3 linked regions of the Drosophila melanogaster genome follow. The protein of the gene in region 2 interacts with the protein of the main gene of each other region in a biochemical or structural test. Each region holds a gene or a part of one and is shown on either strand. Other genes may lie near its edges.

Evidence for each region. Proteins that work in one complex are often made in the same cells at the same time.
Region 1: the proteins of slo (region 2) and Slob form a complex in vitro, tested with the Drosophila melanogaster proteins (one study listed by BioGRID).
Region 3: the proteins of slo (region 2) and 14-3-3zeta form a complex in vitro, tested with the Drosophila melanogaster proteins (one study listed by BioGRID).

Annotation. Positions count from the first base shown.
Region 1 is NT_033779.5:7,672,024-7,676,811, forward strand, and holds the start of Slob (slowpoke binding protein), read right to left. Parts: upstream 3,056-4,788; 5' UTR 2,416-3,055; intron 1-2,415. UniProt on the Drosophila melanogaster protein: Regulator of calcium-activated channel Slo. Increases or decreases the voltage sensitivity of Slo, depending on the absence or presence of 14-3-3-zeta in the complex, respectively.
Region 2 is NT_033777.3:24,660,496-24,665,545, reverse strand, and holds the start of slo (slowpoke), read right to left. Parts: upstream 3,056-5,050; 5' UTR 2,983-3,055; intron 1,183-2,982; 5' UTR 751-1,182; intron 650-750; 5' UTR 461-649; exon of another isoform or gene 122-460; intron 1-121. Other genes in the region: Ppox (protoporphyrinogen oxidase), read left to right, coding at 3,821-5,050. UniProt on the Drosophila melanogaster protein: Potassium channel activated by both membrane depolarization or increase in cytosolic Ca(2+) that mediates export of K(+). Its activation dampens the excitatory events that elevate the cytosolic Ca(2+) concentration and/or depolarize the cell membrane.
Region 3 is NT_033778.4:10,097,966-10,102,731, reverse strand, and holds the start of 14-3-3zeta (14-3-3zeta), read right to left. Parts: upstream 3,056-4,766; 5' UTR 2,994-3,055; exon of another isoform or gene 2,882-2,993; intron 1,697-2,881; exon of another isoform or gene 1,555-1,696; intron 1-1,554. Other genes in the region: RpLP0-like (ribosomal protein LP0-like), read left to right, coding at 3,246-3,273, 3,339-3,586, 3,647-4,141; Jra (Jun-related antigen), read right to left, coding at 4,596-4,766. UniProt on the Drosophila melanogaster protein: Required in Raf-dependent cell proliferation and photoreceptor differentiation during eye development. Acts upstream of Raf and downstream of Ras, and is essential for viability.

The DNA of each region.
Region 1 (4,788 bases), on a different chromosome or scaffold from region 2:
TTATTTAAGTTAATTTTATTGCTGGCATTTGTAAAATGTCAAACCCCGTCTACCAGAATATTTCCCCCAGGTTTTCCTTTGTGGGGTTGCCTTTGATTTCAATTTTCTTATCGCAGATCAAGTGTTAGTGTCGTTTGTTAAATTGGGACAACAATGAAAGTACTTTTTTGGGGTAGGTAAAGGTCAATCCCTGACCTTTCCCGCGAGCCCATAAATATTATGACTGCCCTAGTCGATAATCTCTTCAAAGTTTTCGTCGCTCGCTGGACTTTTAATGAATGTCAGAAAAGCACATAAACGAAATTTCAAAAGCCACGCCCACCCAAAACGCCCCTCTGAGCCACACAAACACATATGGGTGAAGGCCCAAAGCGAATGCGAAACAAAATGTGGCTAACTTTGACCTTTTTCGAAAAGTGAAATAAACAAACAAATTGAAAGCAACACACAAAACAAATCCTGGTCAAAGGGGCGGGGTGAGCGATGGGGCGTGGCCAACATGGCAGGATGAACTAATTCTCTGGCACTCCAAAAAAGGGCTCAGAATAAACATTTTCGCTGGAATAGAACGCATAAATCAGCGAAGATATATAAGATTTCGTCGATACGAAAACGTTCTCTAGAAATTCAGAGGGTGTTCAACGAAGAGAGGGGTTTAGATGGTTTATTGTCTGTCCTGAGTAATGACTGCCCTGTCAAATCAAGCCCTTTCGAATCAAGACTTTATCCAGCAACTCATGTGAGTCCTAACAAAATACTTTTTTCTTTAGTGAATCCATGATTCACTCAATTGTCTATTTTTAGAATCACCGCCAAGAAATCTCGACGCCTGGTACCCTCACATCCCATGACCTTTGTTGTCTTTGTCAAAACAAAGCAAAATATGGCCAAAAGTATTACGCATACGCAGCGTTTGCTGTTTGTACAGAGGCGTTTGCATAATTAGCATAAATTTCGGAAATATTGTAGGCGACACTTGGGCGCACTTAAATGTTATCTCCGCCCGCAGGAAAATCGATTCAGTCGAGTGATCTAAGTTAACATGAAAATCAAATCACTGAAAATGGAAAAACGGAGACAAGAAGAAGCAAAAGTCGGAATCAAATAAAAATGTTTGCACAAACACAATAAAATTGGGGAAACGTTAAAAGAAAAATGTCAACAAAACAAATCGTTTTCTATTAGATTAACACGGGACAACAATTGCCAGAGAAGAAAGAAATCTTTTCACTTGGGTATCTTTATGTTGAAAGTAATATTCATTAACTTTTGATTTTTTTTTTATGGATTGGATATAATTAGCTATTTTTATCCCAACATTTTAAAATATCCAGAAAAAGTGGTTATTGCATTCCAATAAATATTCCTAGGGTCTATTACCAGGCAGTAACCAAATCGAATTTGTCGATGCCACTTTCACTGATTCCGTTTGGGTTCCCTACTCTCCAGTGAGAGAGAGTCAAAAAAAAAAAAAGAAAATTGTCTATTTTGGGAAATCCTACTGCTCTGTCTCCGCTTTTTCTCTCGTAAAATGTGGAGGGACGGACATTAGCTGTCTGCTCGTTTAGTATCCCAACCCCTTGAGAAACTTCCGAACGGCTTAAGGCTATAATCCGGCAGTAAACTGAGTAATGTACCGCTAAAGCAAAAGGCCTCCCTTCGAACCACCTAGAAGACCATTTTTCTGCTCCTTTGCTTCTGCAGATGTCCTTGGGCACAATGCATTCCAATTGAGATTGAGAAAGAAACGCAGCGGCATTCAAAGGAAACCGAGCGCGTTCCTCAAGGGTTCTCTTCACCAAAATCTGAGAAGGGGTAGACGCAGATGGATAAATGAGTACGGGACTCTAGCTTTACGATTGCGATTTAACTGTCTCATTAGGAATAGTTCGTGCAGTTGGCGCTGCAATTACCGCATGGGGAACTGGAAAAAGAAATGGCAATGGATGCTCCATTGAACGTTGACAATCATCATCTCCAATTGCACTTGCTTTTGGCGGATGGGGCGTATGCGTAATATGCTTCCATAATCCCCCCATGACGTCCATGCAGCTGTACAAAACGAGAAACGCACAGACTCGCTAGCAAATTGCATTCGGAATTGAAATAAAGTTGTGGAGAGTTTTAAGAAAAAGTATTTGACCTTCTAAGGGGTTAATGAATCCTGCTTTATGCTGGAAACCGGTCTTTATACGGATATAGAATTCCAGTTAGCCAATTCGGCATCCAGTTACCCATTATCTCATTAAGTCAAAATGTATTAGATTCCACAGAATTCTCAATTACTTCTAAATTACTTTAACAAACGCATAGATACGCATTGTGGCTGGCGAATAATTGCATTTACAGCCCTTCAGATTTCAAATAGGTCATAAAAGGCCACCACCTCCCCCAAGTGTCAGCCACTGAACTCACCTGTAACCAGGAAAAGGTGAGAAGAGCTTTGAGCTTGATTTAGAGTTCCTCTTTCCTGCTTGCCTATTTTCCGGTATTTGATTATCTGATTTATTGATGGTTTGAGATTCGGGTTTTTAATTGACTTATTGCCGAAAAAATTTTCACTCGCGAGAGTATCCCAAAAATGCGGTTGTATCTTACAGATGCGAATGTATCTCGAAGATCCGATGCGGTGTGGACTGATGCGATGCCCTTACGCGACTGAATTTCCGTGTGTTTGGTGCTCGGTGCTTTTGGACTTCGGTATGTTTCCTATTCGGATTTTTCGGTGTCCATCGGCTCTCTGCACTCTCCGCTCACAGTTGTTTTTGTTGCTCCTGGAGGGCAAACAATTTCTGTTTTTGTGGGACAACCAGCAAACAAAAGCACAAGGAAACTGAATCAAAATAAATGCCTTAAATAATTGATGGCATTCGCAATGACGGTCGTGTGCGAATAGTCAATATACATCATCAAATTTTGTGTATTCAATAATCTGACTTAGTTTTCTAAATTAAGTGTAAATTTGTTAAAATTTTAATTTAAAACTACCGTTTTATTCGCGACGCGGCAGAGAATCGGTTGGGAATTACACTGAGAAATAGAGACGTCCACTCCGCTGGCTGACTCGAACTGGATTGAAAAGCTGCCAGCCGCTTGCCGCCTTTATTTCCTCCTAAAAGAGAGTGGAAAACCGAGAGACAGAGAGAAAGTGTCCAAAAAGTTCCATTTGTGGTCTTCCATTGACACCCTTTTCCCTTTTCGGTTGATTTGCCTGTTCCACTGTCACTTGTTCCGTTCTCGCTCTCTCTGGATTTGTCCAGCTGATTACCCCTTCCAGGAGCAGGAGCTTCGACGGTCGCCAGTATCTGATAGTATCTTCTGGATAACGGTTTCATGGAAGTCAGCTGTTTAAGTGGCCCATTCTTATTACCCGTATATGTATGTTGTAGTTTTTAATATTTCATTGAAATTTAAAAATGATATGGTAAGTGATGTAGAAATTCAATAGGACTTATTAAAGCAGGCAAAAACAGAATAATTCAGTTTCTGTCTTATATTAAAGAACAACATTTTAGGGCTTAACTCTTTTTCCGTTTTAACTTTTCTTTATTAATTTTGCTTTAATTGAAACAACTCACGCATGTGAAAATCGTTGTTAACAAATTTATAGCCGCGAATATCCTTATCTTTGGAAAAAGTAACTAATTTGTTTGGGAGAGTGTGGGAGCTTTTCATTCCAGTCGCAAAGCTTTGACAAAGCACCGATGAGGAAAGAGTGATTGCTACACAGCTTTTCTCCAGCAAAGCGGCTACCAGAAGCTTTTACTCAACTTACTCAACAGCATTGAAAACGCGGTGCAGTTGTTGTTTCCCCCTTCGCCAACTGTTCGCCACATCTGCTCGCGTTTCATTGATGCCCAAATATAGGTCAACAATTTGTTCGAGAGTGGGTGGCTGGGTGGTTGATTGTCTTGGGGGCAGTGGTGGGTGGTGGAGGTGTTACATCGCCAACTGAATTATCAGTGTCAGCGAGCGAATGCAGCGGTGGATGCGATGCTGCTATCTGAGGAACACGGCAAACATTGTAAATTGCTCGCCTGACGATGATTGCTTGGGGTTCACCTCGCAACTGGCAACTCAGAACAAATTGCTCGACATTGCGCATACGCCGCGTTATCGGCATGGAATTTATGACGGCACACTCGCCTTGTGTTCACGTCCTTTGGCCAGCCGCCGCCGTCTTTAATTGAATTTTTATGCGCCACCAGCGATCCGCGAAACGTCAGAGGAAAGTGAAAAGTCTTTGCTGTCATCTTCGGCCCTTTTTTAATTTTTCCATACAGAGAGAAAAATGTAACTACAATATTTATATTAATTTTAGACTGCTTCGAACATTTTATGACAAAATTGTATAGTTGCTCCCTTAGGAGTATTAAAAAGAAAAGTAAATTTACTAAAATGTAGTAATTTAACATCCATTTTATTTATCTTGATAAATTTTTATACATATGCTAAGAATACACTGCAAATCATTTTATTCTCAGTGCAAAGCCACCTTGGGCTCTTTCTTTGCTTTTATCCGCCGATCTTCGGCCCTTTTTTAATTTTTCCATACAGAGAGAAAAATTTAACTACAATATTTATATTAATTTTAGACTGCTTCGAACATTTTATGACAAAATTGTATAGTTGCTCCCTTAGGAGTATTAAAAAGAAAAGTAAATTTACTAAAATGTAGTAATTTAACATCCATTTTATTTATCTTGATAAATTTTTATACATATGCTAAGAATACACTGCAAATCATTTTATTCTCAGTGCAAAGCCACCTTGGGCTCTTTCTTTGCT
Region 2 (5,050 bases):
TACTAAGTACTGATAAGATTATGTACATTATATATATTTACAACAAATTTTACAAATATCTCTCGATTACATTATCGTTTTACACCAAGTTGTACACTTAATTAACAGAAATAAGGCTTACATTTTAATGATATATATAATATAATGAGCTCGCTCCTTTGGATTCAAAACAAAGTGATAAGCTATTGGATTAAAGATCACTGCCTTTTATATGTTCGAAGTAGAGCAAAATGTGATAAGAGTAGCAGCGTCTAGCACTGCGAACTATCGCTGGAAAAATGACTGATTGATTGATGATTGATTGATTGACGAGCTGGAGAGATAGGTTAATCCCAGTAGTCCGTATACAGATCATTGCAGAGCCGCTAACGTGACTTCTACAATTTCAGATGGTCTTTCACAAGCGAGGCGTACGAATATGTATCTGTGGATTTATCACGTACGACATCAAGGGCTTTACCTTTGGCGTGATGGGCGGATAGAACGGTGGCAGTTCGTGGCAATTGGGGCACCAGCTGGCCATGTTCGTTCCGGTTTCGGTCCGGGCGGACCGCTTGCTGATGTGGTGTTGATGGTCTTTCTGGATTTCGAAGTGGATCTTGCGGCTGCTACGGCTTTCCCCTCGCTATCCGTTCTCATATTCGGGTTTCTATGCGGCACAGTGTATGGATGTTGTGGTGGTGGTGCAATCGAATTGGGATTTGGAACAGTGTTTTTTGGGCGAATGGATGAAGGACTGGGAGTACTCACCTAGTACTGGCTAAACCACCGAGGCAGGGCTCCAGGGCTGCCAACATTCACACGCTCAAATCGCACATCAATGTGTTTGGACGATTTGTGGTCGCTGCGGCTCGCCAATGTTGCACGTGGAAATTCTTGGGCTGGCTGGCTGGATTTTCCTCACTGGCTGATGGATTGCGGCTTGCTGATTATTTCATAATTGCATTTCGGATCCGTGGATGAGTTTCATTGTGTTATCAGCTGCGTTAAGCTTATCAGTTTCATTGTGCGTTTTGGTTTGTTTGCTTCTTTCTTTGCCGTCTTGATCAATAGTTGTTCGTTCTTTTGAATTTGAATTGGAATTTGGTTAAATTAGAAACTGCGCTTAGTCACACTGCTCATGTTTCCTTTCACAACTTATTTAGCTTTGTTTGCCCACGAAATTTTTCCTTGTGTGTTAAGCTGCAAGAGATTTATTAAGTTGAGCGATAATTTAAATACTTTTTAATTTGCCAAGGCAGCGCGACGAACGCGGTAATTAATTATATTTTTTAGTTAGGCTGTCAGCGTTATTTGCGTTTTTAATTTTTTTACGACCGCAGACATTTGTCAATGATATTACGTATATATTTGTATTCGTATATATATTCTATTAAATTAATATTATTTTAGACATTGTATCACCATTTTCCGTAGCCGGAAAAGCAAGCGTGTCAAGTAAATAAATAAATAAAGATGCGAAGCAGACTTGAAAGCAAAATCAGCACTATTCTCGCCGTTTTTAAATTCTCAGTTCTCGGAGAATTCTCTGAGAATTTCTCTCAATTTCTCACAATTGCTGCTGGCGTATTGGCGGCTGCGCGATGCAGGGAATCCGAAAATTGTCGGGCAGAAAGCTTTTTCCTTGCCTGCGAAAGTCGCACATTTTGGTTAAGCATACGCAATGTGGTACCAAAAACTAGAATTTTTGGCAATATACAACATGCTTTACAATTATCACTTTCGTTTGCATGTTATTTGTATATGATACATTTAATGTCAAACTTGTCATTGGTAACTTTTTAAGTTATTCATTTCCTGCCCGATTAGCGAGGCTTTGCTGTCCTGCGGACGGACTCGTTCTTTCGCCTGCGGCATGTCGTTGAAACGGAAACACACTGCCCTAGTTTTTAGTTCCCCTTCGTGTCACACACACACACTCGCACACCCGCAGGACACACACTTTCATGCGCTTAACGAGCTGCCTAATGTGCCTGCAAACAATGGAAACGGGACAAATGCCGAGTCAAATGAAAGTTGCATTTTCATAATAAATAAGCAGGCGACACAATTTCCCACGGCACGCCAACGGGCGGAAAATACAGGGGGCTTGGAAAATGGGCATTCGTGAGCCAATGTAAACAGAGCTTAGTCCTTCGTCCTGGCCGCGCATTGAACTCGCCTGGATTTGGTGGCTTCATTTGTAGGTATCTGGGTATCTGCGTATCCTGGCGCACGCACACACACACCCACGCTCGGCCAGTGACTGACTGACACACATATACCAAGGTATCCTGCGACACACGAAGGACGACGAGTAGGAAGCAACAAAAATAACATTGACGATGACAGCAGCGGCAAAGGCAGGGGAACGATACAAGTGTATCTCCGGCCTGGAACATCGACTTTATCATCGGGTCGGGTCCCTTCGTCCTTTCGTTTTGGGGAACTTGTGGTGTGCTCGTTTTAAAAACGAACGAAAAACTGTGCCGTATGCGCATGTGTGTGTGTCCGTGTGTGTTGACTTCAACAAATGTATCTTTTAAATGAAAACCTGCAGCAGTGCCAAAAAAAAAAGCGAAAAACTGTATTTCTAAAGAGTTTTCCTTTAGTGTTGCTCGTTGGTCCACTTCTTAGCTCCTTTATGTATGCAACACTTTTTTCGCAATCACAATCGCCGTTTTATGGGCGAACACACACACACACACTCGGTCACTAATTAATTGAATTTCCTGCGTTGTAAGTGTGTGTGTGGCACATTTTCACGTTCACTGAGCCCGTTTTCAACGGATACCGAATTTTGCACAATTGCCGTTCCGCAAATGGCCACGATAATTGCCCGGATTTTAAGACGTTTTTTGCTCAATTTTCCCCGTAATTGGCAAACGCAGCTTGAAAATTTTTCACATTTCCAAGTGCTGCAGCTGTGTGTGTGTGTATGGGTCCCGTGAATATACATATACGCGATAGGCACTTTTCCACACAGTCCACTCACTCACACACCCAGAATAAAAGACGCGACGCGCTCAAACGCGAGGACCAACCTTTCTCGTCAGCAGCGTATACAATTCTGCGCGATGTCGACTCCGACGACATGGAAATCGGTGGCCCAATGTACTTCCGCACGGCCCAAGCTCGTCTTTGGGAGCTTTTCGGAGTCCTGCGGTTGGTGCGGGCTGGACGCTTCGTTCGATTCATCAAAACTGGCGCCAAAACCCATTCACTATGAATGACCCAGTGCCGCGGTGATGGTGATGATGATGGTAATGGTGCCGATGCAGGTGCAAGTGAACTTCCGCACGATGCACACGTGGCGTATGAGGAATGTCGGAAGAAATTCATTGCATACTTTTGGGACGGGTGCACAAATGCATGTTAAATGAGATAAAATAATGGCAAATAAAAGTACTATGCATTTGTATTCTTGTATCAATGCTTAAATTAAGTATTATCAATTGCACTATATTTTATTTAACTTTACATAATTTAACAATAAATATTCTAAAACCATTGTTTCGATTATAAGATATTATGTTAGCTGTAGTTACCAAAATAAGTATAACAATAAATGCTATTTATTTTATAAAATATTTATCCCTTCCTTTATTTGATTTTATTTTCTGCAGAATTGTCAATTCAAAACTCTTCAATCGCATATAACATCGATTGCAAGCTCAGCGATTTTGGATTTGAGCTTATCGATAGCTTCAACGATAGTTATGTCACCTGGGTTTATTTTGGTCTGAACGATCGAAGCCGGCATAGATTTTTTCGTCTGCAAACCAGAACTAGTCTGAATCCTCTAAGGGATTCGGGAGCAACGAGAAGCAGCAGAAGGACCATGACGACGGCCGTGCTGGGAGGCGGATTGAGTGGACTATCCGCCGGATACTACCTGTTGCGGCGATTCGGGAAGCCGCTGACCATCTACGAGGCCTCGCCCCGTGTGGGCGGATGGGTGCGGTCGGAGAATCGCAAGGATCGCAACTTCATCTTCGAGAGCGGACCGCGAACCATACGCCCAGTTGGTGAGCCAGGTGCCAATACGCTAGAATTGGTGGAGGATCTGAAGCTGGAGGTGACTCCCATTCGACGCAGTCATGTCGCAGCACGCAACCGAATGCTGTATGCCAAGGGACAGCTCTGCATGCTGCCCAACAGTCCCAAGGGTCTCTTCGGCGTCCTGCCTCCCTTCACGAAGCCGCTATACAAAGCGGTTCTTCGCGATCTGTTCACAGCAAGCAAGAAAGCGAAGCTGGAGGATGAGAGCATCTACAGTTTCGCTGAGCGGCGGTTTGGTAAGGAGATAGCCGACTACGCCATCAGTCCCATGATCTGCGGTATTTGCGCCGGTGACGCGCGAGAAATAAGTGTGCGCTTCCTGATGGAGGGGCTCTTTGAAAAGGAACAGAAGTACGGAGGAGTGCTCAAGGGCACACTCATTTCCCGCTTTGAGAAGAACAAGACCAAGGACACCAAGGATGGACTATTTGCCGAAAGACAGCCCAAGCTGTATGCGCAGGCGGTAAAGGAGAAGTGGGCCATGTACGGGCTGAAAGGCGGTCTGGAGAACCTACCCAAAACTATGCGAAAGTACTTAGGTGAGCGGGATGTGAACGTGCAGCTAAGCAACGAATGCCGGAACCTGACCTTCAGCAGCTCCGGGGTTCGAATGAACATCAAGGATGCCGAAGTTCCGGTGGAGCATGTGGTCAGCTCCCTGCCCGCCTACAAACTCGCGCCCCTGGTAAAGCAGCAGCATCCCTCGCTGAGCGCCCAACTTTTGAGCATTCCGTACGTGGATGTGCTGGTAGTGAACATGCAGTTCCCCGGCAAGCTACTCAAACAAGACGGCTTTGGATTGCTAGTGCCGCCAGTGGAAAAGTTACCTCTGCTCGGCGTCATCTTCGACAGCTGCTGCTTCGACATGGGCGAGAACACTGTGCTTACCGTGATGATGGGTGGCCATTGGTTCGACCAGTGGTTCGGTGATCGTCCAAGCCCCAAGCAGATTCTTGACTTAGCCACCAGCCATGTGCAGAAAATGCTGCAGATACGCGAGGAACCCAAA
Region 3 (4,766 bases), on a different chromosome or scaffold from region 2:
GCTAGCAGCGACCGCTGAATAGTTGCTACATTGAAATGGTTAGGTGAAAAATAGTCTCCAAAATGTTTGAAACCCCATACAAATGTTCTTTACTGAAGCTAACAACTAGTTTCAAAGACCCAGTAACATTGGCAGAAGCAATTATAAATGCTGATTTCTGCGCAGTTGCCTAAAAACCAACCAATTGAAGTTTAAACCATATGAAAACAGCTATTATTTGTGTTGCGACCGACCGCCAAATTGAAAAAGCATTGACCCTTTGTCAAAACAAAAAGGGCGGCGGGGCGTGGCGTAGCAAAAATATGGAAGGGGGAGGGTGCGGTGCGGTCTCCCGACGCGTTTTTAGGTCAATTGGCATGTTTTCTGCCTGTGCTCGGTAAATGCCAAAACATTAAGCCAGGCGTAACGTAAATTAACGTAACACTCCCCTAAATGGTCACAAATATGTTTGTAGTTTTTATCGGATAAATCAAAGGAGGAAAAACTTGTTTCAACCACGCAGATTGCTCATCTGCCTGAATGAATAAATTGGTAAATAGGGGGAAAAACAGGTGGGAGGTGGGTATCTCGAAGTTATAGATACGTAGACCTTAGAGGACGGTTTAACACCCATATGGTCAGGCTAATTTCGGGGCTAGAAAATCCTGCGAAATCCGTGTCGGATGGATACTTGGTACTTTAAACCTTATCTGCGCCGGCCGACAGCATGCGCAGTAGCTCAAGAACCCCCCCCCCCCCCCCAAACCCCCCGAGACCGAGCCGAGCAAGAACCCAATCCCCGATGATGTAGAAATTCCTCTACACTGTAGATACCGCTACTGCGGCTCTACATGGGGCGAAAAAGTTACTAACTTTTATTGGGGCTGTGTGCGTGCGACTCTGCGTGTGTCGGTGCGTTCTGGGTGGTGGTGGTAATGGTGGTGCGGATGGGTGAGATGGTGTTGGTGGGGCCGCCAATCGTGTTTCCAAGTGCGGCGCTACAAAATTATAAAAATAATCGGGAGAAAGGAGGAGCGAGGTGGGAGGGAGGGAGAGAGCGGAGAACGCCGCAGAGAGAGGCCGAAATGTATCTACCACAGGCGGCCGCCAAGTGTGTTGAGTTTGGCGAGGAAACCCACCTAACCGCGTGTCCCCATCCAAGTATCAACTTGGATATATATATATATATATCTATCTTGGCGTACTGTGTGTACATATAGCTGGCTATATAAGCGTAAATATAGAAGTCGGCTATGTCCGCCGCCTACAACTTAACCGATGAACTGCTGATGATGATGAGAAATACGAAGCTACAAGCGAATCTCACCGCATCACATACATGCACCAATACTCGGGCAACTCGGGAATGTTCTTTTCTTTCATTTTCTTTTCTTTTCCTTATTTTGCACAAATTTACACTTTATTCTTTTGCGTAGATTTTTTTTTTTTGGCTTCGGATCGATGTCTGATTTATGTATTTCGATTTTTCTGCGGGACGAAGTATAGATGCATGTAAGTGATTGCTCATAGGCGGCATTACACGTGTTTTTTCTTCGGATATTTTAGCAATTTTACGTTTTATAATTCCATACACACACTGGCAGGCGCACACACATAGGTACAAGGCACTCTGGGCCAGCAAAAATGTTACTTACATTCTCGATTAACTGAAACTGAAACGACAACGAACACTACCAACGAACGAATGAGAATGACGGACGGCAAAGGTTGCACACATTCGCCGCGCCGCTGTATCTGTGTTTCTGCGCTCTCTCCCCACGCACACTCTAGCAGGGGCACATGCGCCGCCGCAGAATGAGAGGGAGCATATGGGGCTGGCTCAGGCGAGAGCGAGAAAGTGCGACAAGTGAGAGAGTTTCAGGGTTGCCAACCTGCTGTATAAATTAATGTTGCCAGGTGTGCAGGTAAAACTTGGAAACCAAACTTTCAGATAAAATATACTAATTAATAGGCGTCTCAGAACTTGTAGATAGAGAGCTTTAAAATGAGCCAGCTTTTATTGTCAAGTCTTTGTGTTATCATCGTTTTATGAAGTAATAGTTTATAGTTCGTTTCCAACCTGTTGAAACTTTCGAGCGCTTATCTCGCTGCCAGATTACGCTTTTATCTTGACTTTATGGCCTCCGCAAGGAGGAAACTAATCGGGAGATGTATGCCATTGATAAGGGGGTGGCGGTAAATTGCCTTAATTCTAATTTGGATTTCATTGAATTGGTGCACTCACACATAAAAACGAGATATCCACGTACTTATGATTTTCGTGAGGTGAGGCAGGGCCTACGATTGTGGGCCGGAAGTTAAGGCGAGGATTTAACAATCAATTTCTAGTTCTAATTATACTTAGTCCTGTCAATATGGGATAATTCGACAAAATTAGAGTATATTCTTTTGAGTCTTCTTCTATTGTTAATTATACAATAAGAAAATATATTTAATATTCTATGATGTTTTTGTATTACATTAAGCATAATGTTCAAGTCATTAAAAAAAAAAAACGGTAATTAGGTGTACGAGGAATTTTCTAAATAATCGTGTAAGTGTATTGCAATTCAACTCGTGCGTGGCGAAGACATGCTCACGCGCTCATCTCTACATTTTACTACAGCTCACAAAGAACAAGACGGAAAAAATTACGTCATCGGCGTCCTATTTGGTTGCGGTAATGAAAAATTGCTACGTCCATTTCCAATTGTAATGGGATTTTCGCAAGGCCAGTACCGCACGCAATCAAATGCGGAGAGCCCAAGGGGCAGGTGGCATCCAATTAGGAGGCCAACGGAATCGATAAAGTGCGTGGGCGCACTTATTCGGGGAAAATTTTATCCGCCGACAATATGGCGGTCGCAAGCCGACACACGACGCACTAGGTGAAACTACTTACTGCGCCTGGGTTTTCAAGCGAATATCGAATATATGCGTAATCCTTGGGCTCTCAGCACACGACTTTTAACTTAGTTTTAAACGAGCAAGCACTTATTAATTAGTTAATTCACCTCTTACGGCTCGGACGTGAAGGTTCTTCTTCTTCTCTACGCGCAGATGTGTTGGAAAACGAGGAAAGCTGAAGTAGGGATTGGCCCGCAGGAATTTTCCAACCCGCACGGTGCGAAATTCCGATACACGATAGAGCTATCGATTGTTGGTTAGGAACATTTACCATCTCTAGAAGGCCGCACGTGTTTACGTTCGGTGGGAAATATTCTTGGTTTCTGTTAAGAAAACGTTGCTATTTAAAGGCTACAGATATGCCGCGCTCCAAACGTGATAAGAAAGGTGAGAGTTTCGGCTTTAATATATACGATTTGTACTTATAACGTGCGATACTCTTCTTCCCTTAGTTTCCCTGACCAAAACCGACCGCAAGGGTCTGGCTTGGAAACAGCGCATTGTGGACGACATTCGGTTCTGCGTGGGCAAATACCCAAATATATTCGTTTTCCAAGTTCAGAACATGAGGAATAGCTTGCTGAAGGATCTGCGACAGGAGTTGAAAAAGAATTCTCGTTTTATCTTTGGCAAGAATCGTGTTATGCAGATTGGCTTGGGTCGCACGAAGAGCGAGGAAGTGGAGCCGGAATTGCACAAGGTAATTAAGTTTAAGTGGATTAACATATATCAGACACTAATCACAGGCTATGTCTATTAGCTATCCAAGCGATTAACTGGCCAGGTGGGACTGCTTTTCACGGACAAATCCAAGGAGGAAGTCCTGGAGTGGGCAGAAAACTACTGGGCCGTGGAATACGCACGCAGTGGCTTTGTGGCCACGGAAACGGTTACCCTGCCAGCAGGTCCCCTAGAGGACTTCGCCCACTCTATGGAACCGCATCTGCGTTCCCTGGGCCTGCCCACCAAATTGGAGAAGGGAATCGTTACGCTGTACAGTGACTACACGGTTTGTGAGGAGGGCAAAGTTCTAACACCCGAACAGGCGAGAATCCTCAAGCTGGTGGGCAAGCCCATGGCCAAATTTCGGCTGACCATGAAGTGCTCGTGGACAAAAAGCGAAGGCTTCCAGCTGCATGTCGAGGATGATGTGAACGACGAGGAACAGGCTGATAGCGCAATGGAAGAGGAGGCCGAGGCCGAGGCCATGGATGACAACGACGACGATGATGACGAAGAGGAGGATGATGAATAAATAAGTTTAAGGCGTAGAAATAATTTTTTTATGTATATATCAAGTGCAGAAAATATACGTATATTTTAAAAGTACATTACATATTATCTTACGTTCAACACAGATAATACTTGATTAACACTAGCTTATACTAATAACTAAGTAAACAAAACACTTAAGAAGCATTTCAGATATTGCAGCTAAAACCAAAGAAAGGCACAAAGCCTCAGGTTGCGTCGTCCGCGAGGATGTAGAGCACCAGAGGCTGTTCGTTATCGCTCTCCTCCTCCAGGAGTTCGCTGTTAGTTAGGGAAATATCCTGAGAGGCCGAGCCCTCCAGCTCCAAGGCACCGGTGCTAGCACTTGAAAAGAATTCCAGAGGCATGGGTTGCTCGGGATCTTCAGGATTCGAGGGGGTTTCAGTCTCCAGTGCCACGTCCTCCTCATCATTCTCCCCGGCTGACAACTCCAAATGTTATTGGTCTGTCGAGTTCGGCGGCACCGTGCAGCCCGCGGCAATGTGCTCCATCACCTGCTGCTTCAGCTGCGCCACATGGTCCTTGAGGTTCTTCACGATGCTAGCCAGGTCGACGTTCTCGCCCTTAAGTACCTTCACGCGATCCTCCAGCTTTGAGATGCGCTCCAA